Notamacropus eugenii: one gene and its partners. The protein of the gene in region 4 interacts with the protein of the main gene of each other region in a pairwise test. Links are inferred from orthologs where the notes say so. Each region holds a gene or a part of one and is shown on either strand. Other genes may lie near its edges. The genes, in order: PPL, TMSB10, POLDIP2 and ALAS1.

Evidence for each region.
Region 1: the proteins of ALAS1 (region 4) and PPL interact in binary tests that used the Homo sapiens proteins (3 or more experiments, as listed by UniProt). The two-hybrid records come from large-scale screens. The link is inferred for Notamacropus eugenii from reciprocal best matches to the Homo sapiens genes ALAS1 and PPL.
Region 2: the proteins of ALAS1 (region 4) and TMSB10 interact in binary tests that used the Homo sapiens proteins (3 or more experiments, as listed by UniProt). The two-hybrid records come from large-scale screens. The link is inferred for Notamacropus eugenii from reciprocal best matches to the Homo sapiens genes ALAS1 and TMSB10.
Region 3: the proteins of ALAS1 (region 4) and POLDIP2 interact in binary tests that used the Homo sapiens proteins (3 or more experiments, as listed by UniProt). The two-hybrid records come from large-scale screens. The link is inferred for Notamacropus eugenii from reciprocal best matches to the Homo sapiens genes ALAS1 and POLDIP2.

The regions. Positions count from the first base shown.
Region 1 is NC_092872.1:82,288,739-82,296,344, forward strand, and holds the start of PPL (periplakin), read right to left. Parts: upstream 3,014-7,606; 5' UTR 2,758-3,013; coding exon 2,696-2,757; intron 2,574-2,695; exon of another isoform or gene 2,446-2,573; intron 1-2,445. UniProt on the Homo sapiens protein: Component of the cornified envelope of keratinocytes. May link the cornified envelope to desmosomes and intermediate filaments. May act as a localization signal in PKB/AKT-mediated signaling.
Region 2 is NC_092872.1:727,696,364-727,702,950, forward strand, and holds TMSB10 (thymosin beta-10), read right to left. Parts: upstream 1,649-6,587; 5' UTR 1,538-1,648; intron 1,423-1,537; exon of another isoform or gene 1,140-1,422; 5' UTR 1,122-1,139; coding exon 1,022-1,121; intron 814-1,021; coding exon 779-813; 3' UTR 512-778; downstream 1-511. UniProt on the Homo sapiens protein: Plays an important role in the organization of the cytoskeleton. Binds to and sequesters actin monomers (G actin) and therefore inhibits actin polymerization.
Region 3 is NC_092873.1:35,677,362-35,685,209, reverse strand, and holds the start of POLDIP2 (polymerase delta-interacting protein 2), read left to right. Parts: upstream 1-4,835; 5' UTR 4,836-4,886; coding exon 4,887-5,035; intron 5,036-7,071; coding exon 7,072-7,153; intron 7,154-7,848. Other genes in the region: VMA12 (transmembrane protein 199), read right to left, coding at 1,234-1,329, 1,642-1,754, 1,969-2,011, 3,264-3,353, 3,765-3,838, 4,450-4,666. UniProt on the Homo sapiens protein: Involved in DNA damage tolerance by regulating translesion synthesis (TLS) of templates carrying DNA damage lesions such as 8oxoG and abasic sites.
Region 4 is NC_092872.1:2,462,232-2,470,078, forward strand, and holds the start of ALAS1 (5-aminolevulinate synthase, non-specific, mitochondrial), read right to left. Parts: upstream 3,021-7,847; 5' UTR 2,869-3,020; intron 1,573-2,868; 5' UTR 1,552-1,572; coding exon 1,353-1,551; intron 1-1,352.

The DNA of each region.
Region 1 (7,606 bases), about 80 Mb from region 4:
ATAGTGGTAGGCATGTAAGTAATGACTTAATAAGTACTAGCTGAATTGAATTTCTTTTAGTTTCTGGGCCTCAGAGTTCTCTGTATGAAGAGCCTAGAGATCTTGGAATGATTAAAAAAACAGCCCTATTTTGGTAGACATCTCCCCCTCCAATCACCTACAACTATGATTCTATGAATAAATTCTTGATTGGTTAATTAAAAGAAAACTCTCTACACAGGAAACTTCTAGATAGAGTGGGCACTCCATAGGAAATTTTTTGATCGACCAATTGAAGAGCATCCATACAGCCCTTTGCTCCGTCCTCTGGATCTTCTTCCTTTCCAATTGCTAAAGGCCTGGGATGAAGCTATTACTTTCCACAGAGAATACTTTTCTTGGAATTAGAACCAAGAGCCTTTCCCTTTAAATGTGCCAAAAGCACCTACCTTGGTGCCCTGGGGAGAGGCCCCACATCCACCTGCTCATTTATTTTGAGGAGGGGAGTATGATTTACTCAGCCTTTGCATAACCCAGTAGGGAAGGGGTGGGGCAGTTGGATGGTATTCATTATGTATTCCATTCCCCCATCTCTGTGCCATCTGTTTGCCCCTCCCTCCTACCCTTATCCCCCCTTCCCTCTCCCCACCAGCAGAGAAGAATTCTGACTTCAAACAAGTCAGGAAAGGGCATTTCTTTCCACTTGCTTTGCCCAGAGAACCAGAGCCAGATTTATTTCCCATTTCCCTTAGTGTTTTTACAAGTGACCAGGATCTTATTTTTTTTTTCTACAGACTTAAGCTTTAAGGTGATGGGAAATAAGGGGGAGAGATAGTAAAATAGGATTTGGGCTACCCAGGGTTTTCCTAGGAGCAGGGGTGGCATACAGGAAAGCAAAACAAGGCAAGGTGAAGTGGATTTTAAAGGAATTGTGGCAGAGAATGCAGGAGTCCCTTGAGAGAGAAGAGCCTTCTGAGGCTGGCACAGAGCATCTGATTGTGCAACAATGTGGAGAAAGGCAATGAGGAGCTGACCCTGGTCTGGTGTTGATAGCTGGGTCAGGATACAGCCAGCTGAAAAGAGAATTGTCCTTTCCTTTTCTACTGCCTAGCCCAGACTCTGTAATCTTTTGGGAATGGGGACACAGGAGAGCTGAGACCTTGCAGGGAAAAGAAAATGGAATAAACGTTATTTCTCTAGAAAAAGTCAAGGCATGAGATTATCAGCGCTCTTTCCTTTGAAAAATTACTTTGTATTACTTTGTATGTATATTTTTTCTTTTTTCTTTATTTTTTGTATTCTCCAATCCCAGCACAGCTTCTAGTACATGGGTGCTCAAAAAAAAAAATAAAAAACATGTAGAATAGAATTGATGAAGAATAACTTTGGAAAATGATTTATATATAAAGGGGAATTCTGTGACAACCCTCCACCCCATCCCTGTTTAAAATCTCATTCATAAAGATGTCCAAATACCTGCCGGATGACCCAAAACAGCATCAAATCCTGGACAAGGACTCAGGGCCCTAGGAACAAACCTGTTTAGGGAATCTGAAACCCAAGTTCTCACTGAACTCTCCTGGGAAAGTCCTAGTTTTCACACAGGTCCCTCATGGGGAAAAGGGCAGTGAGAATGGGATAGGTTGGATGCACAGACTGAAGAGAAAGGAGGTAAGAAAAGTTATATACATAGGGGATGAAAACTGTTATCAGAGAGAGGGTCAGTGAGGTGGACTATTTTTAGATTACTGACATTTTAGAACACTGATACCCCTTCCTATCTGGTAGAGAGTTAATGGAGTTAGTGCAAAGATCCCACTTGGAGTCAGGACACTTCCTTTGGAATCCAAGTCTAACGCGACTGTTTTAATCTCCCTGAGTCTTGACTTAGCCCATCTGCGAAGTAGGCATAACAATGCCTGCGGCACCTGCCTCAGGGCACTGTGGTTTGGAAAGACCCCCATTAAACTCTACAAATTCGAATTATTATTCCATCAGTGCCAGGCATTCCTTCCGACCCCAAGCTCTCAAAGTACCCACTTTGGCAAGAAGCTGGAGTAGCTTTTCCTAGTGAGAATCCGAGGACCCCAGGAGTCCTTCCTATGCTGCCTGCCCTTTGGAGGCCAGAGGAAGTCCAGAGTTCCACCCCGCTGCCATCTCCGTCTCATCCTCCCCTCCCCAAGCTGGCTCTGCCTCTGTGTCCGAACTCTATCTCGATGAGGGTTTTCCCAAACCGGTTATTAAGTGAGCACATTAGTACTTATCAAACCAACGTGGGCTGTTGCTTTAATCCAAACACATCAAAACATGCTATTCTCCTTTCTCAGGCAGCTCTTCCAACCTGAGCTAATGAGGTGCCTGCCAGTTTCGAGGCTGGGGTGGAGGTGTACGTGGGGGGGGAGTCTGGAGCCACACCCCTGCCAGGACTGAGCACCGACTCCGTAAAGGTCAGCCCCAAAGACAGGGTGGTGCTTTGTGGTTCTGGCCCCCGACATCCTCCCATGCCCGAAGGTTCAGCCTCCCCTCCAGCAGGACCCTCCGGCTGCACTGGCGGCCGCGGCTCCCGCAGCAGGTGGCTGGACGTCATTCGGCAGGTAGCCTCGCGTCCCCTCTCCCTGCTCAGCCGAATCCCTTCCCCTCCCACCCTCCAGCCAGCTTAGAGCTTCTCCTTGGGGCAAAGGAGCCCATAGGTGCCAACCCGCCGCCGCTTCCTCACCTCCTGGTCTGCACGGTGGGGCTGTATTTGCCTTTGTTTTTCTTCCTGAACAGCGAGTTCATTCTGCCCTCGGTGTGTGCACAGCTCCTGCCCGCCGGTGTGCGCCTGTGTTTGAAGGACTGGGGGTCTGGAGCGGGGCAGTTGCGCAGGGAGGGTGAGCGGGAGCCCGGGCAGGTGTGAGAGCGGCTGTCAGGAGAGCCCCCAACTGCAGCCCGCAGCTCTAGCTCGGGGTCACTACTCCAGGGGGGCGGGGTTGCACTGCCGGGTTGGGTCTAGCTCCAGAGGCTGTCTGTCCCTCTCCCTTTCCTGGGAGAAGGTGGTGCTTACCTTCACGTCACCCAGGCGGGTGGAGCTTCCCACCCTGCTCCCCTCCCTCTCCTTTTTACCCACACTCAGGGTGTGAGGCGGCACCCAGGACCAGTGCGCACATGCATAGGGCGCGCGTGAGAATCACTTTTGTTTCCTTTTACATAGGCACCCAATGTTTAAAAGGGAGATGGTCGTGAAAGCGTGGCACTGGCATGGATGAGGTTAGAGCAGACGGGCATCAGCTGCAAGTTCAGCTGCAAACTCTGTGGAAAGTGCCAACCAAGCTCCCTCCCTTTGGCCCGGAGTCTTGGCTGTGACCCAGCTCTGCCCCACAGACTACAGATGCTGAGGGGGTTTCCGGGTCTGGCAGTAATGAAACCCCTCATAGCAAGACTCCAAAGCAGGGCTTCCTTAATTTGGGCGCACCCAGGCAGATTTTTGTCCCAGGGACAGCAAACCCAGAATACGGGTTAGTAGGCACATATAACATGAAGGATCCTGCAGGGCCAGGTTTCTGTACGCTGGAAATTAAAGAACACACCCATGACATATTACCACTTCCAGTCCTTGTGAACTTTTCAGGTTCAAGAAATTTGAGTTGCAAGGACTAATGTGGAAATATGTTTAATATGCTTGTATATCTATAGGCTATATCAGATTGCATGCTGTCTTGGGGAAAGAGAAGGTAAGGGAGGGGGAGAGAATTTAGAACTCAAAACCTTATAAAAGTGAATATTAAAAACTAAAAATAAATAAATACATTTAAAAAAAGAAATTGAGTTGTAAGCATGATAGAAAGAACTTGTCAACATCTAAAAGCAAATTTATTAAAGTTTAAGACAGCTGCATAATACAATCATAAAGCATGCTCTTATTTTAGATCTTGTTTCATATAAAAATATCCGCTATAGATAAAAATGTCTATCTGGTTTTCTGGTTAGCAGAGTAAATCCTGGATCATCTATGAGAAGAAAATAATTAGTTTTTCCATGTCATTCATAGACTATTTCTATCATGCTTACACCTGATGTATTCAAGTTTTAAAACTGTAATAAAGAGTTAAGGAAGATCTTGTGTTGTACAGTTAGTAAGACAGCACTTTGGAATGAGAAATTACATAGAGGGACATCAAGACTATCGTCAGGCAAATGTATGCCTGGGAAAAAAAATAGGCATGGGACATAATGAGAGTGAGGGGTGACCAGTGTACTCCGTTCATATTTGTGCAATGTCAAGAAATCTCAGCACATTGGGCAGATCCCCTGTGGGGAATTTACGATAGGACAGGTAAGAGTTGCCCAGGACTGTCAGACATTGATGAGTTGTGATCTGCATTGTGAGACAGAATTGATGAAGGCACAGATTCACTGAACATCAGAAAAGATGAACTACTTTTGTGTTAAGTGTATGGGTGGCACAGCTACCCCTGGAGCCACTACAAGTGGAATCCCTGCTAAAAGTAGATCTCCCTCCCTTCCTTCTCTCCTCTCTTCCTTCTCTCTGTGCCTAGCAGACAGATTATTCTGGAATTAAGGATCATTTATTTTTCTGGCCTATGAGATTTCTGCTGTCTAGTGTGAAAGGTCCCCCCACTCTCTAGGAGGCCTAGACTGTTCCACCTAAACAACCAATTATAGAGATTAGCAAAGGTTTTCTGGAAGGCCTGGATTCAGGAAGAACTGAGCTCAAGTCTAGGCTCAGATTAGCTACATGACCTTGAGCAAGTCATTTAACCTCTGTCTGCCTCAGTTTCCTCATTCATAAAATTGGGATAGTAATAATAATGCCTACCTCAAAAGACTGGTGTGAGAATCAAATGATGTAAGATTGGTAAAGCACTTAGCACAGTGCCTGGCACATAGTAGGGGCTATGTAAATACTTATTCCCCTTTTGTTGGGATGATGCATTTTGAGCCTTGGTCGTATTCACCCATTCCTTCTACATCCATCGCTCCACTCCTCTATCCTTGAAGCATCTTTTAACAATCCAGACCTGGCATATCAGAACTTGGCTGCTAGCAGTGCTTAGTTGGCTGGTTCCCATGTCTGCTGAGACAGGTGGCAGGATGTTCCAGCCAAGACTTCTGTCAATGAGGTTTAGTCCATGCCTAATGCTGTCCATCTCAGCCTTGAAGATCAATAACTGCTCAGGGAGTGCTCCCTAGAGGCATGATTCTTCCAACTCTAAGTTGTACAGTACACACAACCAACTGAAATTCAACTAACATTCAGTTAGTGACCACTGTATGCAAAACACTGAGAAAAACCCTGCCCTTGACCTGAACAAAAGTTTCCAGTCTAGCAGGGAGAGCTTGCTTCTGGGCAGAGGGGTAGAAGGAAGTTCTGTGCAAGAGATAGCAGCATTTGAACTTGTTTTTTTTTTAAAAGATTACAATAATTACAATAATATTGCAAGATTGCAATAGTCAGAGATGGAAGATAGCCACTCATGGATGATGGGAGGAACAGGATCAAAGGATGTAGGAAAGTGTGTGTTCGTCCTTTGTTGCCAAAGAAGACCGTGCCATCAGAGAAATAATGACATGACTTGCACTTGACTTTGTTTTGAGTGAGGGAGGGCTGTGCAGGTCACCAGCCTCACTTCTCCTCCAGAGCCATCAGAATCCAGTGAGCAGATATTCATCAGGATGACTGGAGATGACCCAGGATGAGGCAGTTGGGTTAAGTGACTTGCCCAAGGTCACACAACTAGTGAGTGTCAAGTGTCAGGGATGAGATTTGAACTCAGGTCCTCCTGACTCCTGAACTGGTGCTCTATCCACTGCTCCACCTAGCTGCCCCTTAGGAAAGTTTAGGATGTATTAGGAGAACTGTGAATACTACTTTGGCTAAAACACAAAATGGGTGAAAAGGGGGAGTGGGAAAGTGGGGAATCAAAGGTCATCAGGCTGGTAAAGTGTCATCAGGATTGAAGGATTGCAACTGTAGACTTGTACCCATCAGGTCAAGCTAGGAACTGGGAATTCAAGGGAAAGAAGTTATAGGGATTCAGGAAATGATAGTTGACATTTATATAGTGTTTCACATGCATTGTTGCATGCGATCCTCACAACTTTATGATGTGGGTACTACAGGTATTCTCCTCTCCATTTTACAGATGAGGAAATTGAAACTCAGATGTGAAATTACTTGATCATGTTCAAACAGCTAGCAAGTGGCAGAGCCAAGATACTGACCCAGGTTTCACCTGACTCCATGTCTCATACACCATCAGCTACACCATATTGCTTTTCATATCATAATTCTTAGGAGAGGATTTGGGATGGCAAAAGGAAAGAAGAAATGTGTGTAAGATAGATGGATCAATAGGTAGAACCAAGTCCTGTATGGAATTCAGTAAGGGAAACGGTGGGAGTAAGCATTTACTAAACACCTACTCTGTGCGAGGTACTCTCCTAAGTGCTTTGTAAAGATTATCTCATTTGATCCTCAAAACAATCTTGGGAGGTAGGTGCTATTATAAGCCCAATTTTACAGTTGGGGAAACTGAGGCAGCCAGTTGTTTGTGTGTGTGTGTGTGTATGTGTGTGACTTCCCCAGAGTGACATAGCTAGTAAGTGTGTGAGGCTGGATTTGAACTCAGGTCTTTCTGATTCTAGGTCTAGTGGTCAACAAAACTCAAACTATCAAAATTCTCATTTTCTCCGGACCCTTGAATTATCTTCCTCCACTCAGGGAACTCTTCTTAGTGTCTACACCTAGAGGAATGACAAGTGGTAGTTAACTTTAGGGGGAGCACTTTGGCATATCAACCTGGCTATGCATCTGTCTTCATGTTCTAGGTCTTTTGTTAACAAGAGGGTCTCAAACTGACCTCAGTGGTATATAGCATGGTCGTCCAAGGTTGGAGAATAGTTGTAGATTCTTGTTTTAAAACTCTCTTACAGATTCCCTGGTGATAGGGCCTCCCTGTCAGTGGCTGAGAAACTGAGGGATCCATACTAGTCCCCTTTTTCACCCCATGGTTTCTCAGGCCCCAAGCAGCCTTGGGGAGAAATCCAGATGACTCAGCTGGACTGGGGCCAGACTAGGCTAGCCCAATTAGCAGATTCAGGGAGGAATATGAATTGCTGTTCATGAGGGGACTGGTTCTCCACCCTTTAGAGGTCTAGGAGCAGAGGAGTATGTGCACCTATATGTATGTGTGTGTGTGTGTTTATCAGTGTTCACACAGTTTACATTTCTGTGTCTGTATGTTTGCATCTGGATATAGTGATGGTTATCTGAAATATCTTATTTATTTAAGTAACTATATATATATGAGCTCAGTTTGCTGTAATGAATAGAGCTGACCCAACAGTCAAGAAGACCTGGGTTTAAATCCAGCCTATAACATAAATTGTGTGACCTTGGACAAGTCACTTAACCTCTTAATGCCCCCAGGCAAATCCTTAAGAGGATTATGAGTTTCAGTTCTAGAGATAACCAGCTGGTAGTGGGAGTTTCCTTACCTGGAGCTGCCCATTCCAGTGAAATCACAGGTCAGGTCCAAATAAGCAAAACCATCTATCTGTGTATAGTGGAGCCTTCCCAGAATCATGGGGTGGGAAAGATTGCCGCTGGAAGCCCACAGAATCCCTT
Region 2 (6,587 bases), about 730 Mb from region 4:
TGAAATATCTTAGGATCGAGAATATTGGGTATATTTTCACATCATTTATTTTGTGAAACTACAGAATTTTAATTTGGCTTAAATGTTCGCCTCCCTGGGGGGGGGGAGAGGGAGAGAGGGAGAGAGAGAGAGGGGGAGAGAGAGGGGGGGGGAGGGAGAGAGAGAGAGAGAGAGAACGAGACCCAAAGCCTGCTCCAAGGGCAGTACCTTTTTGACCAAATTCCAGGACGGCCTTATCAACCGGGAGGCTCAGGGTGGAAACATACACCTCCAAGTTAGTTATAGGGAGTAATTGTGATGGGCTACAGCCTCATTTTTTCTATCATTTTGTTACAAAAGGAATTCCATTTCTAAAATCACCTGTGCCTCGAGTCCTACAGGCGGCAGCCATTTGCCACAGGCATTCTTTCGGCATTGGGCTAGGTCTGCCTTGTTGGCAGCAAGGTAGGAGGGGTGTTGCATGCCCATCAAGAGCATACAACCTAGGGAGTGACTGAGACCACATCAAGCATTTCACAATGTAATCTTTATTTTCATCAGTCATACAAATAACTTTCTATAATATCGCAGGGCAATCTGGTCAGGATGTGGCAGTTCGAGATTGTAAAGTCCAGTAAAGAACCGTCCGTAGAGGGGTGACTGCCCACGTCGCTGGCCCTCTTTCCCAGCGCATCTCTTCTTTAAATGTGGATAATGCAGGTGGCTATCTATGCTCCCTCGAAACCAGGACCGGGGTGGGGGGTGGGGAGTCCCTTCAAGGTGCATGTCTCTCCAGGATCTAAGAAATTTCACTCCGCTTCTCTTGCTCAATTGCTGCAGGACCAGAAGATACATTGTAGCCCAGGGATCCCAGAGGAGGGAGGGCGGGCACACGGGGAGGTGGGCGGGGGGGAGCCCGAGAGGAAGAGGGCTTGGGGGAGCCCGGGGACGCCGCCCGCCCGGGGGGTTTCTCCCAGCCAGGGTGGGCCACGGCGAGGGTGGGCTGGGGGTGGTCCAGGGGCTCCGGGGCGGTCGCACTCACTCTCTTTGGTGGGCAGAGTGTTCTTCTCCTGCGTCTCCGTCTTTTTCAGCTTGGCCTTGTCGAAGCTCGCGATCTCCCCCATGTCGGGCTTGTCTGCCATGTTCGGATCCCCAGAGGCCTGCGGGTCAAACGGACGGGGCTGACCCGGCCAGAGTCGCCCTGCCCCGCGCTCGCCGGACGCCCACCCCGTACCGCCCGTCCGGGGCTTGTCTCCCAGTCCGAAAGCGGCGCCGCAGCCGCTCACGGTCAGGATCTCCCAGCGCCGCCGCCGCCGCCACAAGCCCGAAGGCTCCACGTCCGGCGCTGCCGCCGTCGCCCCAGCTGCCGGCCCGGCCCGCAGCCCAGCACAGCCCGGCGGCGGTTCCTGCTCTGGTCCACGCGCGGGGCAAGGAGGGAGGGGCGCGCTCCGGTCGGCAGTGTCCGTCCGTCCGTCGGTCTCTACGTCGGCCCGCCACGCGAGAGATCCCCACGAGCCGCACCCCGCCCCGTCGCCCCCCGCCCGGCCCGAGAGCTCACCTCGCCCGCAGTCGCTCCCAATGCCTCCTGCTCCTGCGGCTGCAGCCAGAGACAAAAGAGCGCGGCCCGCCCCGCGCCTTATATAGCCCTCCGCCTCCGGAGGTCTGCCCCGCCCCCGGTCCGCCCCCTCTCGGGAGAGCACCGCCTCGCCGGCCACCGCCCACCCGGGAGCATGCGGTCGGTCAGCGCCTGCAAGCTAGGGGCGGTGGCCGGAGGCGTGTGCGAACGCATGCACACACCGCCGGGGACGCACACACACACGCACCGCCATGCACGCACACACACATGCACACTCCTTCCTGGCGCCGCGAGCACGTCCCAGACACACTCGAGCCCGTTCCCAGGGTTGTCTCCCTCCCGACTGGTCTTTCTGTTTTCTTTTTGGAAGGCCCTGTCTGCAAGACTGTAGAGGAGACCCTCTCCCGGGCCATCCCTCCCTTCCGCCAAGTTCTGGCCCAGCCTGCTCTCTGCTGGTGCCCTCCAGACCTTTGTTTCTCCCGGGTTCAAGCCCAGCCGGCGGGCGTGCATCCTGATTCCCGCGCTCGTGCGGGCGGGATCAGGATTGGATGCTCCATCACCGCAGTCCCACCTGCGGTGGCTGCTGCTGCTCCGGCCCCGCACGGCATCCAGAACCTTCTGCCCCGAGCCCCCTAGACCTGGCGGATGGACTTCTTCCATGCACCGTGGGCACACGGTGCAATCTCTTTCCCTCAAGGGCGGAAAAGTCTGGCCTCCCGGCTTTTCCCGGGAGACTTTTTTTTTTATAAGCAGATCTGGCTCAGCTCCCATTCCCCAATGAGATGGGGTCATGAGGTAAACGTGCATCTATGAATAGGTGTATATCCGTATATGCACACATGTGTAATATATATTTGTGTATTTCCATGCATATACATTTATAAACACACACATAGAGACGCGGGCATATATACATGTGTGTATATAATACATATTACACACACACACACACAAACACCCTACACTAGTTCCTCACATCCATCCATCCATCCACATTGCAGTTACAAATTAAGGACGCCAGCTTTCTCAAGTTCCTTAACAGAAACTTCTCTGTTATACTGAAGTTTTATTTTAAAATGAACCATCAAACAAAATTTAAAACTCCCACCGTTTCTTAACTCTCCCCCTTTTAAATGATCCTCGCGGAGAAAATTATGCATTCTGTTACGATGCTTTCGGTTAGCTTCTGCAAAGTCACTGTGGAGAAGGGGTACGGATGAAGACCAGAGGTGCGGAAGGCTTTCTGCAGCTCCCCGACACCCCACCCCTAAACTGGGTGGGTCTTCATTTCTGCTGCGCTTCTCCTGGTTTCTTATTCTGGTTTTTACTTCCAGATTCATTTCTCTAGTCTGGTAGCGTTTTCTCTGCGTCTCACAGGGAAAGAAGAAGCACAGTCAGAACCATGATGAGACATGTAAACGGATTTCAGTTCCTTGCCCCGGGTTTGTCCCCCCAACCTTACCCTACCCGGTCTGAAGAACCATGACTGAAGGAAAGCAGAAGGAAAACTGTCCGGCAACAGGATAAAATTTATTCAGAAAGAAAAAGACGCGGTAACATGGGGCGGGGGCGGAAAGAGCCCGGGTTCTGGAAGTCAAGGACCTGTTTTCCAATTCCTCACTTTATGTTTACTACGTGTATGACCTCGAGCCAGTTCCTCTAATGTGGGAATCACGGCTATCCTTGACAACAACTTAAGAGGTTTCAAAAAACCTCTCCCAACCAGATCTGAGTGTACCAGGGGTCATTTCGGGGGATGCACCTGCCCCTGGTCAGTAGTTCCTTTTAGGTCTACCATTGGGGCAGGACCTTTAAGATGCACACACACACACACACACACACACGCACGCACAAATATAACACATATATACATGTATAAAAGACACATATGCATATATGTATGTAGATATACATATATGTATGCATGCATGCATACAGAGAGACAGACAGTCTTTTTATCCCTAGGGCCTTAGACACAACCAGTGAATTCAATGCCACTAATATTTTTATTGTTTTTTTTACTTAAATTTATTTATTTTATTCTGAACTTAAGAAATAAAACAAGCATTTCCATAACAAAGTAGATAGAAAAACAGAGGATTGCAACTGAAATTGCAGATCCATCCTGTACAATTTGCTATTCCTTTCATGTGTACAAGTTATCATGTGACTTTTTAAGCCCTCCCCCTCTCCCCAAATTTTGAGATGGCTACCACTAGACACAAATCTGCGTGTATAAGTGTATATACATGTGTATATAAATATATGTACATATACATATATACACATATACATGTACTTAATACATATACATATATCAGTTCTTCTTCTGGATTCAAACAGTATCTTTCTTCATAGGATCTCTGTGGTTAACTTGGGTATTTATTATAGTCAGAGTGACCTGGGTGCTCAAAGTTGTTCTTAAAACAATACTGCTGTTACTGTATACAGTGTTCTCTTCGTCTGCTCATTTCACTTTTTATTATTCTATGGAGGTCTCACCATGGTTTCTAAAATCGTTGAACTCATTAGTTGTTATAGCAGAGTAATATTCCATCATGAACATGTACCACAATTTGTTTATCCATTCCCCATTTGACGGGCATCCCCTCAATTTCCAGTTCTTTGCCATCACAAAGAGAGTTTCTATAAATATTTTAGAACATGTAGCTTCTTTTCCATTTTACCCTAATCATCTTGGGAAACAGACCTAATAGTGGTTTTACTGGGTCAAAGGGTAAAGGCAGTTTGATAACTCTTCAGGCATAATTCCAAATCTCTCTCCAAAATGGCTGGATCTGCTCACAGATCCACTAACAATGAATTAAGGTGCTGATTTTTCCACATCACTTCCAACATTTGTCATTTCCCCCTTCTATCATTTTAGCCAATCTGATAGGTGTAAAATGCTATCTCAAAATTGTTTTAATTTGCATTTCTCTAATCAGTAATGATTTCAAGCATTTTCTTTCATATGACTATAAATAAATTGTTTTGATTACTTCATCAGAAAACTCCTTGTTCATCACTAACATTTATTAAGCACAAATCGAGTGCAAGACTTTGTGCTAAGTGCTGGAGAGAGACAGACAGAGAAAGAGGGAGCCAGACAGATAGGGGGAGGAGAGGGAGAGGGAGGGAGGGAAAGATAGAGAAGGGAGGGGGTGAGAGAGAAAGAGAGACAGGGTGGGGGGAGGAGGAGAGGTAGGGAAGGGAACACAGAGGTGGGAGGGAGAGAGAGACAAAGCTTTTTTGTTTTTTGTTTTTTGGTTACAAAGGAAGGTTCATTGAGTGGTAAGGGGACAATCTGTGCTGAACCACAGCTGGATACAATTCACCTGAATTACCCACTTTTCCAATGAAAGTAAGTTTCCTTTGATCTTGTCACTTTCAAGTTTCAATAGATTCTCTCTAGCTCTAGGAGTCTGGTATATTGAAGGCATGCTTGATCCCTCTCAGTCTTGTATTTTTCAGACTCTTTCGCCTGTCCTCAGGAGGCTGCCTGCCCAGAATGTCCTGGTGTGAGCTGAACTGGCATTGTCTGTGTCTGGATTAGAGGAATGCACACGACTTCAGGGACTATTTCTGTCACATCAACTATTCCTGCTCGTGCTTCTTGTTTCCTCTTTCGTCTATATGCAGTCACAGAAATCTGCTCAACCCCCAAATAGTAAATCCCAGGAGAAGTCAGCCTGGCCACCTCCACTGCCTTCATTTTAGATGGGAGGAGCTTGAGCCCCAGATAGTGTCAGCCAAGGAACTGAATAGCTGTAACAGGATTTGATGTGCTTGGCGTGTATTAGATGCTTAATAAAATGTTTGTTGATTGTCTGAACTCAGGAATTAAGACTCCAAATATTTTTAGGTAAGAAAAAAAAATAGGGACATTACCTTGGCCAAAAAACTAGAGAAGAAATAGAATAGGGAAAAATGATGCAAATATGGTTGCAAATACTATTAAGTCAGATTTGTCTAGTGCCTTTCTTGTAAAGAGCTCAGTTCTTCGCACATAATTCTCCCAGCTTTAAGCTTCATTTTAAACTGAATCATCAGTCAAAAACCCTTTGCTTATTATTTGTGTGAGACAATTATTGTACTTTTCTGACTTCCTCTCTACCCAATTACCAGAAAACTGAACCCCTCTGGATACTTCATTGTCTATTTTCTATCTTGGATATAATATGCATAATCACCCATCTCTTCTCTTTTAATGAGTTCCCTTTAGGACTCATGTTATTTTTCCCAAATGTATTGTGAAAATTTTGCTCTTGTTTAACTTATAGCCAAATTTTCCTCTGCTATCCTGTTTTACTTCCTAACCTGACTTTAAAAATAGGCACTAAATTACTCGCTCAAGGTAAATAGTAAATTATACTAGGTAAATTAAAAACAAAAATAAGATTATCCTTTACTAGGACCCCTCCTCAGAGAAGTGAGGCTGATAGTGAAACATACATAGACACTATATATCTGTGTATATATATATATATATATATATATATATATATACACACACACATATATGTATATATAATCTAATTTTCAATTAACAAGCATTTATCTGTCCCTCCCACACCTTACCCCATTGAAAAAAGAAAAGAAGAACAAATCTCTTAACAGATATGCATAGACAAGCAAAATATATTTCTTCATTGGCCAAGTACAAAAATGTATGTTTCTTTTTATTTCTTGTATCTATCACCTAAATAGTATGTTTCATCATCAGTGTTTTGGAATCATGATGAGTCATTATATCAAGCAGAATTCTTAAGTTTTTCAAAGTTGTTTGTCTTTGTAGTGTTGTTTTTACTGTATAAATGATTCTCCTGGTTCTCCTCACTTCATTCTCCATCAGTTCATACAAGTCTTCCTAGATTTCAATGAACCCATCTCATTCATTCCATTCCATTAATGTAATTTGTTCAGGCATCCCGTTTAGTTTCCTGTTCTTTACTATTACAAAAAGAGGTCCTACAAATTTTTTGTACTCATGAATCCCTCTCATTTTCCTTTGATCTCTTTAGGTGTATAG
Region 3 (7,848 bases), on a different chromosome or scaffold from region 4:
TGTTGTCTTTGACGTGTCCCTAAAAACCACAGTGCAATGCAAAAATCTTGCAATAAAAAACAAAGTTTGTGGGAGAACGGGGTTAGGACAACAGTCGATAATGTCACCAGGGACACATTTAAAAAAGATAGCAACCTAACAAAAATGGTAGCAGTTCTATACATATTAAATGGTCAAGAAATACATAAACTGTACAAAAAACAGCCATGGCCCCTGCAGCCTCAGCTGATGCTCTGCCAGAGTCCCAGTTCCCACAGGGCCCAGGTTGCCAGAGTCCAGCTGCTTTGGGGGGGAGGGTGGTTTCAGTGGATGGCAACTCCTAGGCTAGGGATGGGTGCTGGCCAGAAAGGAAGGTGGGGGAAGAAGTACACAGATCAGCCCTTGGCAGCTCATAGCTCCCACTGCACCATAAGACATAGGGCACTTCACCTTGAAAAAGACCAGGAGTTTGCTTGTGGAACTGGGTGTTGGAACGAACGGTGGATGCTTATGAGTTATCATGAACAGGTGTAGTTTTCTGTCAGATGAAACGGTACGTAAGCAAACACAAAATCTGAGTCATGCTCAAATTGTTCCCAAATATATCAATCACAGTGGAACAGATTCACAGTTTTCAAAACAAGCATCATAGCAGAAGTGACTGTATGTTCTTTGGAGTCAGAGGAATGACTTATGTGGTTAAAAATAGACATATAGGTTTTACTACCCCTTCCTCTCCATTCTTGTATCAGAGGACCTGGAGCTTTGAATGCAGGAAGCCTCAAAGACTCCGAAGGGAGGGAAACATACACAAAATCACCAAGATGGATGCCAGGAAGAGCAAAAAAAATCTTAAGGTAAACAGGCAGAAACTGAAATAGACAAAATTCCTTTGCAGGGTCTGGCTAGAGGCTGCACGGGTAGGTTTTTCCTGCCTCAGTATTCTCTACTGTTCCTCTTTGAGTCCAAATGGGCACCAGCTTGGAGTGGGCAGTGACCTCAGTCCTGTGGTGTTCAATGCAGGTGGCTGGGTTTGAGGGGCACGGGCAGGGATGAGGCAGTGGGTGTGGTAGCAGCCCCAGTCCTCCTCCTTGGACCTTAACCCAAGGCCACATGCAGAGGAGTGTCTGCTGAGTGATGTGAAGGGCCAAGGTTCTGAAGTAGGCTGGCAGCTGTGTGGAAGAAAAGACAGAGCAAAGCCCCCCATCCCAGGATTCATGGAACATCCTTGGTACCCAAGTGGGGTACCAAGCATTAAAGTTCTCCAAGTTCTCCTTCCATGGCCCGAACCATGACGTAGAGCTCAGCCAGACCCACCACAGAGGCCACGATTACTGCTGCCAGCACCCTCTGGGAGAGAGAAACAGTGGGATGGAGATAGTTGCCTGCTTTTGGGCCCTACAAAGTCTCTTGCTCTTTCCTTCCTCCAGCCCCCCAGAAAAAAGTTTAAGTTCTGGCGCCTTCCCGTGTCTGGGTAGGTCACATAGGGACGCCATGAGGGGACCAAGTTTCTCTGGGGATGATGGCTCACCCTTGTATTCTATATGCATATTTATGTTTTGTTCCCTCGAACGCTTAGCTGCCGCCCTTCTGCTACCTTCTAGAAGCATACCCCATGTCCTCAGTCTGGTAGACTACTCCTCTAGCCCAATGCCCCCTTACCGCAGCCATTTCCGAGAAGATGTACTGACTTCCAAGGTAGGTGCAGGTAAAAGCTGCTGCCACAGTGACGATGAAGTTAAAGATGGAGATGACCACTGCCTTCACTGACCTCACTGGGAGCCAAAGTGAGATGGGACAGAGAGCTCAGTCATATCCTGGGGAGTCCTCTTCTCTGCACTGCAGGAAGCAGGCGTGTGCACACATATATAAGCATGCGAGCCCCCTCCCCGCTCTAACTAAGGATCTCAGACAACTCAGGGGGCTGGTGCAGGGAAGGATCATAGTGGTGACGAACTTCCTGTCCCACAGCTTCCCAGAGTGTCTCACCTTGGCAACCAAAGTCAGCTAGCATCCCATTGCGCCTTGTGGCCTGAGAAGAAGAAAAGGCAGATGGTATGCCATGATACAGAAGTGTTCAGTTAAGATTAGCACAGGGCACTCCTCACATTCTTCCTCGTTGCCAATTTTAACTTTTTCTGCCTAAGCTGCAACGCAGGGGTAAGTTACAGATCTCCAATCATCAACACTGAGAGAATTGGCGTTTGTAGACTACACAGTCTGCCCCAGGTTTTGCCTCCAAAGATTTAAGTGAACAGGACTTCTTTTTTCTGCTCGAACAAGCTGGGGGCTTTCTCTAATGGGCCATGACCAAAATATCAGTTGACTTGGTCACTTGCTAGCTAGGAGATCTGTGGGGCAGTTGGACAAAGAAGAGTGAGGAGATATGAATTCTAACCTCAGCTCTGACACTAGCTGTGAAGACACTCAGTCTCTCTGGGCTTTAGCTTCTTCATCTACAAAATGGGGTAATAATACTTGTATAATGGATATGTTAAAGAATCTGAAGAAAGTACTTGGTAAACTTTCTACTAGAACGTAAGATCCTTGATTTAAAAAAAAAAAATGTTTCACCAGTACCCAACCCATAGCAATGCCCAGCACACAGCAAATGGAGTCTGTTATTCAACCGTAGCTTGATCTTAAATTTTCTGAGCTTGTCTTCTCATCTGTAAAATGGGATACCATATTCTCTGCTTATTTTAACAGAGTTGTTATAAGGAACCAAAAAAGATGTGTGAAAAGCTGTTAGAAAAGTATGGCATGGTTTATTCTCTAAATAGAGCCCTCTGGTGCCTAGAACAGACCTCCAGGGGCCAAAAAGAAACCCATCTCTCCTGTGCCACATCCTTCTACAATGAAACCATTAGGAGCATCGATACACTCTGTATTTCCATGGTTCCATGCAACTTAACCTCCTTTCTGTTGGCCTTTGTTGAGTATGAACCATCAACTTACTAGTTGAATTTTTTAATCCATCCATCCACTGTCCTGAGTGAAGCTAAGGAATACCTATTGTTTGAGGAAGGTAAGATTTAATGTTGAAATGGCTTTGTTTTAATTTCAGAGCCATAACGGAACTTGTCTTTAAACAAAGTTTAACCATGTATTTTTTGTTTTTCTTTCCCATCAGATTAGGAAATCTTTGAATGAAGAAACTTTCCCTTCCCAAGGAAGACCCTAGAGGCAGAAATCATGCTTCCTTCCTCTATAGTTCTCTTCCTGATTAAAAAAAAAAAAAAAGCCTTTGTACATAGTCTGAGGCATGAACTGTCAGCCCTCACCTGGCAAGAAACATTTCTGGTGATCCGATTGTACTCCTCGTTGGCCAGCTGCACTTTGATCCGCTCCAGGCGGGCGACCAGCTCTGGATTCTGAGGCAGGACAACATGGGAAGTGTGAACCCCCTGGCCCACCCAAAGTCTCCCCCTGCCTCACTAGCTCTCATCAAGGTTCTAGATCTAAGGCTTTTGATCCTGAAGAAACTGAGCAGAATTGGGACAGCACAAAGTAAAGGTGGGATGCGCAGATGTGGAGCATCCACCCCAGATATGCACACCGACTGAGCACTCCTAGCTCCTACTGGTCTGATCAGCCACAGTCGGACACACTGAAACTTGGCTTTACCATGGGGATGTCATTTTGGAAGATCTAACGTCATGAGGCTGCAGCAGCTCAGGCTCTCTAGGTCTAGGCTTTTCTGTACCTAAGAGGGGGTCGATGCTACAGGTGAATACAAGCACCCACTGGGCCAAGGCTCCCCGCCCCCATCACCTGTTACCTACCCTGGGGGGTCTCACCACCTCTGGGAGATGGATCTCACTGCCTTCCAGGAGTTCGTGAAGGAAGGGAGGGGACCCTAGGAAAAGAAGGTTGGTACGGTGATTCCCACCCTGTCTGCCGGGTGGGGGCCGCTCACTTTGACCCCCGAATGGGATTTGTCAATGAGAAATGCCTGACCCACGAGTGACTCCTGCTGCGCAGGCGGGGCATCACGACTGACTTGGGAGTAATTTCCGTGACTGCTGGGGGAAGAGGCCTGGAAAAGGGGGAAGGTAAAGCACGATCCCTCGGGTTACTTTCACGAGTGGGCACAGACGAGCGGGCCCCAAAGGGCTAACGATCGCCGAGTCATTTAAATCTCCTTTCCCTCGATGTTCGCAGGAGCCAAGCGTGAAAGAGGAGCGGCGGCCTGCTGGGGTCCGGACCCGGAAGTGTTGGGGATCCCTCAGGACGGCCCCCAAAGAGGAGACTGACATCTGGGGCGGCAAGGGGGCGGGACTGGAGTCTCAGTCCGCCCCTTCCTCTGAGGCTGACCCAGGTTTCAGACGCGCGTGACTCGCGCGGGGTCACCCCGGCCGGCAGCGAGGCCAACGGGGGCTGCCATCCGAACGCGGTGCCTCGACGTGTGCGGCTCGGGGGCACGCGGCGAGCCCCTCTCCCCTCCCACCGCCCGGAGTTCGCTCTCACCCTGCTCCCGGAGGTGTTCGTGCAGCTCTCGGAGCAGGCGGAAGGGCACCAGGGGCCGGGGGTCTTCGCCCTCGCCCTCGCCCTCGGCGGCCTTCTTCCTCCTCAGAGCCGCCTCCAGCCGCGCCCGCAGCTCCCGGGGCAGGCGCTCCGCCTCCAGCTCCCCTCCGGCGCTCAGGGCCCGTCGCAGCCGCTCCCCGGCGCGCACGGAGGACGCCATGTTGGGTCGGGAGGTGTCAGGTGACCGGAGGCGGGGCCGCCGAGAACTTCCGGGCGAGTCCTAGAGCGACCTCTCCGGGCGGGGCGGGGCGCGGCGCGCGGGGCCTTGTGGGCCGGGGGCGGGGCGCGGCGCGGCGGAGGCGGCACGCAGGGCCGCGCGTCGGCGTCCGCGTCTGTGACCGTGAGCGAGTCCGCGCGTCCGCGGCGGCCCAGGCGCCGACATGGCGGGCCGCGTAGCCCGGCGGGCCCTAGCCGTGGGCGGCCGCTGCTGCTGCTGGTGGCCCCGGCAGCTGGCGGGGGCCCGGGCGCTGCGGCCCCTCGCGACCTTGCCCCCGGCCGCGGCCACGGCGCGGAGACACCTCTCGTCGCGGTGAGGCGGGGGGCGGGCCCGGGGGGCCGGGCCTGGGGCGGGGGAGGCGGGCGAGGAGAGCGGAAGCGCCGGGGGGCGGGGGCCGGGCCTGCGTCCGGCCCAGTTGGGACTCCCGCCCTGCCAGGACGGCGCGCCTGGCTTCGCTGCCCAGAACCCTAGAAAGGGCCGCCTTGGGGTTCCGAGAGGCTGATTGATTTGTCCAAAGTCCCCCAGCTCGTGTGTGTGTGTCTGTCTGTCTGTCTGTGTGTGTGTTTGCAAACCAGCACCAAACGGTCACACAACAAGCATTTATTAAGCGCCCCCTGGGGAGCAGGCCCTGGGCAAAGTGTTGGGGTACCGAAGACAGCTCTGCCCTTGGGGGGCTCCCTATCCTATGGGGGAGGCAGGATGAGCAACAACCGCTTGGGATGAGAGGAGGTAACACGCGGAGGGGGCGGCACCGTGCCTGGGCTCCCGTTCAGCCCCTAAGCAGACATTAAGCACCTGTTGTATGCCGGGCGCCCCTGCCTGCAGAGAGCTTCCAGTCCGAGGGAGAGGACAGGCTGTAACTAGGCCCTTAGAAGAGTCAGGGGAGAGGGGATTGGCATGGAGCCTTGAAGGAAGAAGGGAGAGAGAGGCAGAGCTGAGGGGCCAGCGCCCTGACGGAGGGTGGGGGGAGGGGGGGAAGATGGGAAGGGTGAGGTTAGGAGGAGTTTGATGGGGGGGATAGGGAGCCCCAGCAGGGCATGGAGCCTGAGCAGGGCAGCAAGTGAGGGAGCCTGGAGGAAGCTGTGACCCCTGGCCAGCGGGCTGGGGGGAGGGCGGGATGCCTGGAGACTCTGGTTTCTGTTTTGTGTCTCTATTTGTCCTTAGCTCATGGTAGGCGGGTCGCATGGGAGCTCCCTGGGCACAGGACCAGTTCATTTTTTGTCCTAGAATCCTCAGTGCTGAGCCTGTAGCGGGTGCTCGGTGAATTCTTGTTGAATTGTGGGGTAGGGGAAAGGGGGGGTCCCCAAGAAGCCTCTATTCAGGTTTGTGGTTAGCAGGGCCCTTGTGCTACTCATCTGCCAGGGGCATTTGGACTCAGGGGTCCAAACCTGCAGGTGACTTGTAGAGCAGTGAGGCATCTGAGACCCTTGAGTCCAGCTCCCTAATTTTACAGACGAGAATACCCAGGCCCAGGAGGGATATATGATTTGCTTAAGGTCACACAGTGGGCACCTGAAGCCACTTCCCCCCCAGCCCCAAAGCTGTGCCATGCTGCCTTCTCCTTTGGCCATAATTTCTAGGCTTAATTCTTAGGCCTCAACATCCTAGGTCTCCTGTGCTTGAGCATGGACTTCCCTGAGGTTTAAAGTCTGACCAGAGGTCACAGAAGGACTCCCAGGCTTCCTTGTGGCTCCTGCTGGAGACTCGAGGGGGAAAGGGGGCCGGTCTCATCTGCCGTGTCTTTGCAGGGGAAGGTGTGGTGGGCACATCTGATGAAGAAGCCTGGAAGGTTCAGGGGGAATCAGAGAGGCATCCCCAAAGCACGTGGCATTGCAGGGAGTCTCCCCAGCTCCGACTAGAAACTGAGAGGGTTTCACTTATTGTAGTGCCTAGAATTAGGGATGAGCCCCAAGAACATGTGGACTGTCCTGATTGGAACCTTTAGAAGCCCTTGCTTGTCTCTCAAATAAAAGGGAGGGAGGAGGGAAGAAACAGTTACAGAGCACCTACTGTGTACCAGTCACGGTACACATCCTTCTGATAACCTGGTGAAGTAGGTGCTGTTGGTATCTCTATTTTACAATCGAAATTGAGACAGGCAGGTGAAGCAACTTGTACAGTCCCATAAGGGTCTGAGGTTGAATTTGAATTCAGATGTTCCTGACTCCAGCTCAGACTTTACTGCCCCCTAGTGGCCTCAAAACAAAGCACCTGCCATGTGGTGATGGGTCGAGTATCCTCAGACTTTCCCCACGTAGCTTGCTCTGTCCCTTAAGCTCAGTAGCTCGGTCATTTCTCCTGATGGATGGAGTGCCCCAAACCATTTACTTCAGTGTTCTTCTCTTCAGAAACCGACCAGAGGGCAAAGTGTTGGAAACAGTTGGCGTATTTGAGGTGCCAAAGCAGAATGGGAAATATGAGACAGGCCAGGTGAGTGTGGGGAAGCCAGGGTGGTGGGGGTTGCCCTTTCTAGTCCCTGGCATTGGCCACTTGTCTTAAGGGCAACGAGTGCAGTGCTTGAGCCCCTCAGCTTTGGGGGTGGTCCCACTGTGCTGCACATGAACCGGGGCTGACTTGTGGGGTCAGATCAGCGGAGTGTGTGATAATGATGAGCACTTTTGTCGAATCATTTGAGTTGTATTGGCAAAGATACTGGAAGGGTTTGCCATTTCCTTCCAGCCCATTTTACAGATGAGGAAATGAGACCAACAGGGCAAAGTGACTTGCTCAGGGTCACACAACTAGTGAGTGTCAGAGTCTGGATTTGAACTCAGGTTTTCAGGGCTCCAGGCCTGGCGCTCTGCCCTCTGGGCCACTTAGCTGCCTGAATAATGGTAACAATAGCTAACATTTGTCTGGTGCTCTGAGTGCTTTATGTATACGTGACTATTCTCACAGCAGCTCTCAGGGCCAGGTGTTGCTCTTATCCCCATTTTACAGATGAGGAAATAGACTTGTTCAGGGGTCCTCACTTAAGTGTATGGAGGGATGATTTGGTGGGGGACTGAGATGCAAGTGGAAGAAGGCCCTTTGAATCTGCTCAGGAGGGGAGTGAGCTCAGGGCTCATAGCAGCAAGCACTTTGCCACTTGGCTTGGAAGGGCACAGTTACCCCAAGCCAGGCAT
Region 4 (7,847 bases):
TTAAAAAAAAGTTAAAAAAAAAAAAAAAGATGGAAGTGAGTCAGAATCACCCGCCCTCCCGTCTACTAGTAGTGAACTAGTCATTTATGAGACCACACTCTTATGAAAGGTTAAAAATTCATTTGAATCACTTCAGGAACTGATTAAGTGATATATCCCAATAGCCTTTTGTTTTCATTTCGTTCCTGAATATAAATTCAAAGTAATTAATCTTAAGCAATCATGAGTTTGTGACTTGGATTATTTCCAATCTTGATCTTGTCCAAAAGTGTTTAACAGAGCTCACTTGGGGGTATATCCACTTCAGTAATTAAAACTTTTTCAAAGTTTCCTTCCTGTTGATATAAGAAATTATCACCTTAGAACCTGATCTGCACAAAGAGACCTCTGGTCTCATTGAAAGGATAAACTGCTTCATAGAACTAACCAAGAAACAGAACAAAAAAGATCCTAAGATTTTTACTAAATGAAGTTCAACTGAAATTCACATTCAGGAAATAACATTTATAAACAAGTTTTATAGTTCACAAGCACTACCTATGTTCTCATTTCAGTGCTCTGAAGGAACACGCTGCCTTCAAACAGTTGGCTGGTAACTGTGTTTCTAATGTGAATGACCTCCCTTTCCCCTTGAACAAATTAGATCACCTTTCCTTCTAGAAATGTTCTTCCTCACTGATGCTGGAACACCCCAATGAGTCACAGCCTCGCCTTTCCTACAGTTTGTGGAAAGTGTTTCACTATTGTTTTTCTTTCCCAACTTCAGGCTAGGAAGGAATTTCAAGTTTATGTCAGCACAGATGACTACAGTAACTGATGGCAAATTAAAAAAAAAGAACAGTCTACAAACATTATCACATTTTCCCCCTAAAGGATTCCACATAAAAGTCCTCACTGTGGGTATACAACTAGGAAACCCCTGGAATGTATAGACTTTAGGGGACTAGAAATGGACCTGAAAAGAGGTTCCCAACCTCTCCTAACAACTGCCAGGCCAATATAAAAATTACAGTTGCTTTTCCTTTTTCAGAAATAAAATGAAACGAAGGTGGATGAAACAGGGGGGGGAACAAATAAAAATCATGAAAGAAACTTCACACTCAGAACTGCAATTTACAAAGCTAAATGACGACAAACTTGGTAAATGTAAAAAAAATGTTGTAATTGAACATTAAAACTTAGCATTTAGTGTCCCACGATAATGAAGCGTCTTCTAAGACACAAATGCCTAAAGATTATGAATAAAAAGCACAGCATGTAACAAGGGAAACGTTAAAACTGCTCTGGGTTTAGTCAAAGATGGGGACACAGTAATAGTTCCATGATGATGAAATAAATAAACGAATACTCACTCTCACTGGCTGGAGGTGTTTCCTTAACTTGCTGGAAGTGAGTTGGTGAACTGGTCATAGCCCGAGAAGCAGGTTTGGATCCAAATTCCATCATTTTGGGGCAATTCTGGGCGTAGAAGAGCAGAGATTTGCCAGCCTTCTGGAGAAAGGTTTGGGGTACTCTTGACAAGAATGGGCAGCGACGAACAATGGTCTCCATTTTGAGGGAAAGGACAGGATCCTGTAAAACCATTGGCTGTGAATACCACTTCCTCCACCACCACCACCACCACCACCACCAGCGCCGTTGCCACCGACAGGTATCAATAAGCTTGGAATAATGTTAGACCATCCCCTAGGACCTTTCCTTCCAAGCCCAAAGGACCAGGTATCCACTGCAACCTAGAACTGAGCAGCACTGACATATAAAGAGAAACTATGTTGCAGGAAAGTGTTCAAATGTAACAAGTCTGAGGCTGTCCCACTCTGGCACAGCCTAGCAAGGCACACGATCAGCCCCGATGGTAAATGGACAAGCATAAATCAAGAAACTCTTTGCAAAGTCTGGTACTTTCAGAAATGGCTGGGGGGACAGAAAGACCACAGAATGGCTGGACCATTACTGATAGGGAGAAGGTCCTCTCACGGCGCCCCCACAGCCCCTAAGGGAAGAGCCCGGGCTGCAGTCCTTGCGGAAGGGGCTTTCCTGGTGCCCCCAGGGCCTGCCAGGCCAATGTGGTTGGGAATGGCATTGCCTCCCCCTGGCCCACGAGCAGTGGGGGGCATCATTCTGGGTTCCCTAGGTGGAACCCATGAAAGACAGTAACTGGGAGTCTTGGGAATGGGATGGGAAATAAATGGGCCATCTATGGGGGGCCAAGGTCTGGGGATGAGGGCAGAGGGGGGTTGGGGTGGGGTTAAGTGGGAGTCCCAGGGAGGGGAGATCCAAGAGTGGGGGCACAGGGCTGATGGGAAGAGAAGACCAGGGGGTCCTGGAGGAAAGGCCCGGCCCAAGTGATGCCGCTCCAGTGTCACCCCAAGGGAGGAAACCCGAGGAGGGGAGGGGGCACTAGCGAGGAAGGGGATGAAGGGGCGGGTCAGAGCGGGCCTTAAAGGGGGAGGGGAGAGGAGAGGAGAGGGGGCGCAGGGACCAGTGAGAGCCCTGGGGCAGGGAAGCTGGACCACGGGAGCTCTGGGGCGATCCAAGGTGGTGCTGGGGGGGCATTATCGTGGGGGAGGGCGGTGGGACACGGATAACCAGAGGGAGTGGGGGAAGGGCAGGATCACGGGGAGGGGGGAGAATAAGCAGCGGAACACGGATAAAAGGGGGTCCTGGGCAGGGTCTGGGGGAGGCGGTAGAATACGGATAATCGAGGGTCCTGGGGAGGGCAGGGACCACGGATAAGGGGAAATCTCGGCGAAGGGCGGCAGGGGAACACGGATAATCGGGGGCTCTGAGCACGGTCCGAAGGAGGGAGGATCGGGGGGCAGTTCTGTGGCGGGGCAGGCTCCGAGGGGAGGTCGCTCCGGCCCTCACCTGAACAGAACCGAGGAGGTGGCGGCTACGGCGAGGCTGGGACCTGCTGGCCGGAGCGACTAAGGTCACAATTCTGCTTTCTGGCTGGAGAAGGCGTTTAAGGCCGCCCAAGCCTCTCAAGTTATAGAGAGCGAAGGCCCAGCGCGCAGGCGCAGCTCGGCCTTTTTTTTTTTTTTTTTTCTTCCCGTCGCACTACTCGGCCCCCTCCTTACGCACTCCTTCCGGCGCAGACGCAATTCAGCCCCCGCCGCTCACGGCGTCACGTGCCCGCTCACGGCGTCACGTGCCCCGTCCAGCGCTCGCCCTCCCCCCTCTCCTGAACGCGCTCGCAGCGCTCCGCGAGGCCGGGTGGGAACGAGGCTGGAGGATTTAACCCTTCGGCTCCCAACCCGCGGGGCCAGGCCAGAGCCCCCTAGGGGCCTGGGGTCGCCTCACAGCCTGTTCCCCCTCGCGGCCCCTTCGCTGTCCCTGCCTCGGACGAATGCTGAGCGCCACGTCCGTCCTTCCCTCCGGACAGGGTCCTCCACGGGGTTTTGGAGAGTGGCACGGAGAAGGCCGTGGAACTGAACAATTGAATTAGATTTTACAGATGGGGAAACTAAGGTTGAGAGAAGGGAAATATATGGGGAGGATAACTGGGTGAGCAGAGGGGCTGGCGTAGACAGGCCTCCCTCTGATCAGGCAGTTAGTGCGCATGCTCGTCCCTCGGTGCCGAAGGCCGTGACGTCAGAGGAGCAATGACGTCAGAGGAGCGATGACGCCAGAGGAGCGATGACGTCAGAGGAGCGATGACGCCAGAGGAGCGATGACGTCAGAGGAGTGATGACGTCAGAGGAGTGATGACGTGGCTTGCTCTTGACTTTGTTTTGAGTGAGGGAGGGCTGTGCAGGTCACCAGCCTCATTTCTCCTCCAGAGCCATCTGGATCCAGTGACCAGACATTCATCGGGATGACTGGAGATGACCCAGGATGAGGCAGTTGGGGTTAAGTGACTTGTCCAAGGTCACACAGCTAGTGAGTGTCAAGTGTCTGAGGGGAGATCTGAACTCAGGTCCTCCTGCCCCCTGCACTGGGGCTCTATCCACTGCACCACCTAGCTGCCCAAGTCCGTTAATAAGCCTTTATGAAGTGCCTTTCATGGGCCAGGCACTTCGCTAGGTGCTAGGAGTGCCAAAAGAGGCAGAAGGTAGTCCCTGCCCTCAAGGGGCTTATAGTCTAACGGGAGAGAGACAACACGCAAACAAATATGTACACTATCGATTGTAGACGGGATAAATAGAAAATAATTAACAGAGGAAAGGCATTAGAATGAAGAGAGATTGGAGAGAGTTATATATTAAAAAGCTATGAGAAAAGATAAGGTAAAATGAAGTGACTATGGACCTTTAACCTTAAAATATTATTCAGCCTACTTTTATTAGGCACCAGCCATGTCCAAAACACTCTAGAGAGAGTGGGGTGGGACTCAGAAACCTTGTCTGTTGTCCTTGTTCAGTCGTTTTCAGTTGTGTTCAACTCTTCCTGACTCCGTTTGGAGGTTTCTTGGCAGAGATATTGGAGTGGTTGGCCATTTCCTTCTCTAGCTCACTTTACAGATGAAGAAATGGAGACAAACAGGTTCAAGTGACTTGCCCAGAATCATCCAGGTAGAAAGTGTCTGAGGCCAGATTTGAACTCAGGAAGATGAATCTTCCTGACTTCAGTCCTAGCATTCTATCCACTGTAGGAAACTTGAGTCTGAGACTTAACAATGGCACTTAGCTGGATCCTGAACTAGACTTTCCTCTTCCATAAAATGGGGATAATTATAATTGCACGATCTACCTCACAGGGCTTTACAGAGCACCATAGAAATGGGAGTTATTATTAAAAAGGTAGTCAAGAGACCTGGAGAAACTCCCAGAACATCAAGTGGATCCTCTTGTGGAAGATTGATAGGAAGCCTGTGGATAAAGGTTGTGTAACCTTTGGAGATGTTGAAATCTGTAGTATTGTAGGGTGTACCCACACCGAGGACATGAAAGATCCATTTCCATGGAGGGCAACGTGTACAAAATTCCTGAGCCTGGAATTAAGAGACCAGCGTTCAAGTTTCAGCTTTGTCACAGTGTAACCTAGAGCAAGGTTGAACCTCGGTTTCCCCATTTGTAAGATAAAGGATGATCTCTAAGGTCTCTTCCAGTTCTGACATTCTACATCCTAAGGTTCCTTCCAATTCTAACATTTTATGTTCTGTATTATAAAGTCCCTTCCACATTTTCATTCTGCACAATGACATGATGCTAAGAACATCTTGGATAGGATGAGAGATTCTTAAATGAAATCCTGATGATATAAATCAAATGACTCTAATGCCTAAAGAGGCAAATGTAACTGCATCCATTGAGTTGAGGGTTTTAAAGGACATGGAAAAAAAGATGGAAAAGAGGGTATACAACAGTGAAAGCAAATACAGAAAAATACTGGAGCTAGTCCAGTAAGGATGGCATCATAAGGATGAGCCCAAGCTTGCTAAAGATGTTCTGTGTGCGTATGTTCATCCTTCATTGCCGAAGAAGACCATGCCATCAGAGAAATGATGACATGACTCGCACTTGACTTTGTTTTGAGTGAGGGAGGGCTGTGCAAGTCACCAGCCTCCCTTCTCCTCCAGAGCCATCTGGGCCCAGTGACCTGATATTCATCAGGATGACTGGAGATGGCTCAGGATGAGGCAATTTGGTTAAGTGACTTGCCCAAGCTCACACAGCTAGTGCGTGTCAAGTGTCTGAGGTGAGATTTGAACTTAGGTCCTCCTGACTCCTGCTCTATCCACTGCACCACCTAGCTGCCCCAGCCAAAGATGTTAAAGGCAAAGGGAAGGACTTTTAAAAAGTGGTCTTGCAGGCAAAAAGAGGAAGAAGCAGAGGATAGATAGGCAGTTCTGGGACAGATGAAGCAATAATAACGGATTCAAAGAAAGCAGACATGTACACAACACCTAATTATTTCTGTTTTCTCAAACATAGAGAGCATTCTTTAAACCAAGACAAGGAGAACTGTCATATTAGTGAAAAACTGGAGCCCAAAGGAGGAAAAAGTAGATAGTGAGGGAGCAGCCAACGACTTTAAATAGGGCAAGTCATCATGCAAGACCTCAAATGTTATCCTTTGATTTCAGAAGATCTTGCAGAAATGACCTGGGTACAGGAAATGCACATAGATAAAACCAAGAGCCATTCCCCAGTTGATAAGTGGTCAAAGGAAGTTTTCAAAAGAATTGCAAAATATAAAGACCCAATGAAAATATGCTTCAAATTACTGATAGAGAAATGCAAATTGAAATAGCTCTTGAGGTTTCACCTTACACCATGTAAATTGGCAAAGATAACTGAAAAATCCAGTTAATGTCAGAAGTTCTGTGGGTAGACCTGCTTGTAGATGAACTTTTGGTGGAGTAGAGTAGTCTAACTATGGAATTTTGCAATAAAAGGAACTAAATTGTCCGTGTTCTTTGACCCAGTTATTCCACTACCGGCCAAGCCCCAAGGATGCCAAGAACAAAAGGACAAAGTATGTACCAAAACAATTAGAGCAGCACTTTTTTTTTGTAGTGGCAAAGGCCTGGAAACAAAATGCATATCCATTTATGGGGGAATGAATAAAAAATGTGATCTGTGAATGTAATGGAATATTATCGTGCAATTAGAAATGACACATGGAATCTAGATAAACAGGAAAGATTTGTATAAATTGATGTGAAGTAAAATAAACAAAACCAAGAAAATAATATGTACAATGATCGTAATAATGTAAATGAAAAGATCACTAAAAGAAATTGAACTCTGACTAATGGAAAAACCAGTGAAGGTCTCAGAGAAGAGATAATGAAACGTATTTTCTCCTTTACTGCAGAGAGTGGTGAGAGCAGACAGTGACACTGCTAGGATCTATTATTGTGTATGTTGTCGAATGGAACATCTACATTAGAGTTTTTTATTCATTACATGTTTTTATTTGTTTTTCTTTGTCACTAGAAAGGTTTAACGTTCTGTACAGACAAAAAGCATCAAAATGTGCTTGTACATGTGTGTGCATACACACATATATACACATATACATACATATGCATATACACATATACATGTATTTTATATACATACACACATATATTTATAATGTATAACTAGCCAATAAAAAGCCCTTCAAGCATGCACAATGTCCTTTGCCTGTGGCCAACCGTCACTGAGGCCTGGTGAGACTTCTCTCAGGTATGCATGATGGATGGACCTGCCCTCCTCTTCAGAGAATATGCAAGCATTCTGTGACTATTTCTTTTGTCTTGCTTCATAACGATGAAATCCTTTTAATTGGCTGCTCTGTTTCTCTCTCCTTGGCAGCTTTCAAAGGAGGAGGGGAAAAAAATGCTACAAATCTCTGGGTGGAGAAGTCCTGCCTGTACCTGGTCACCATGTGTCCTCAAACATACGGTACTTTTGTTTCTTCTAAAGCTGTTGTGTTTATTCTCCACTAGTCCTAGGTGAATGATTATCTGAGATAGAATGGTTTTGTGAACCTCAAAAGGTCAAGAGATAAACCAGAGGTTCAGGGATGGGATTTCACAGGAAGTTGACATAGCCACAGCAGCCAAGTTCAGTGAGTCAGCACAGCTTCTTGACCCAGGCCAGCAATGGATCGATTGACCTGGTAACAGAGAAACCATGTTCTGAATGCCACGATGGCTCCTATGGGACATGCAGAAGTAAACTCAGTGGAAGGAAGGTTTTGTAGCTCTCACTTTACCCACTCTCCCCAGGGGCTAAGGTAGTAGAGGAGAGTGTTGTCCAGTTCAGGGGAATGTTTTACGGCAATTGCTTTAACAGTTTGATTCCACTCTAGCCAAGAACCAAGATGTATAGGGGAGAAATTGACCTGCTGGTCTGAGCGTGGGCTGGAAGGAGAGGGAGCCCAGAATCTATTTATCTGCAAAGCCTGAGTCT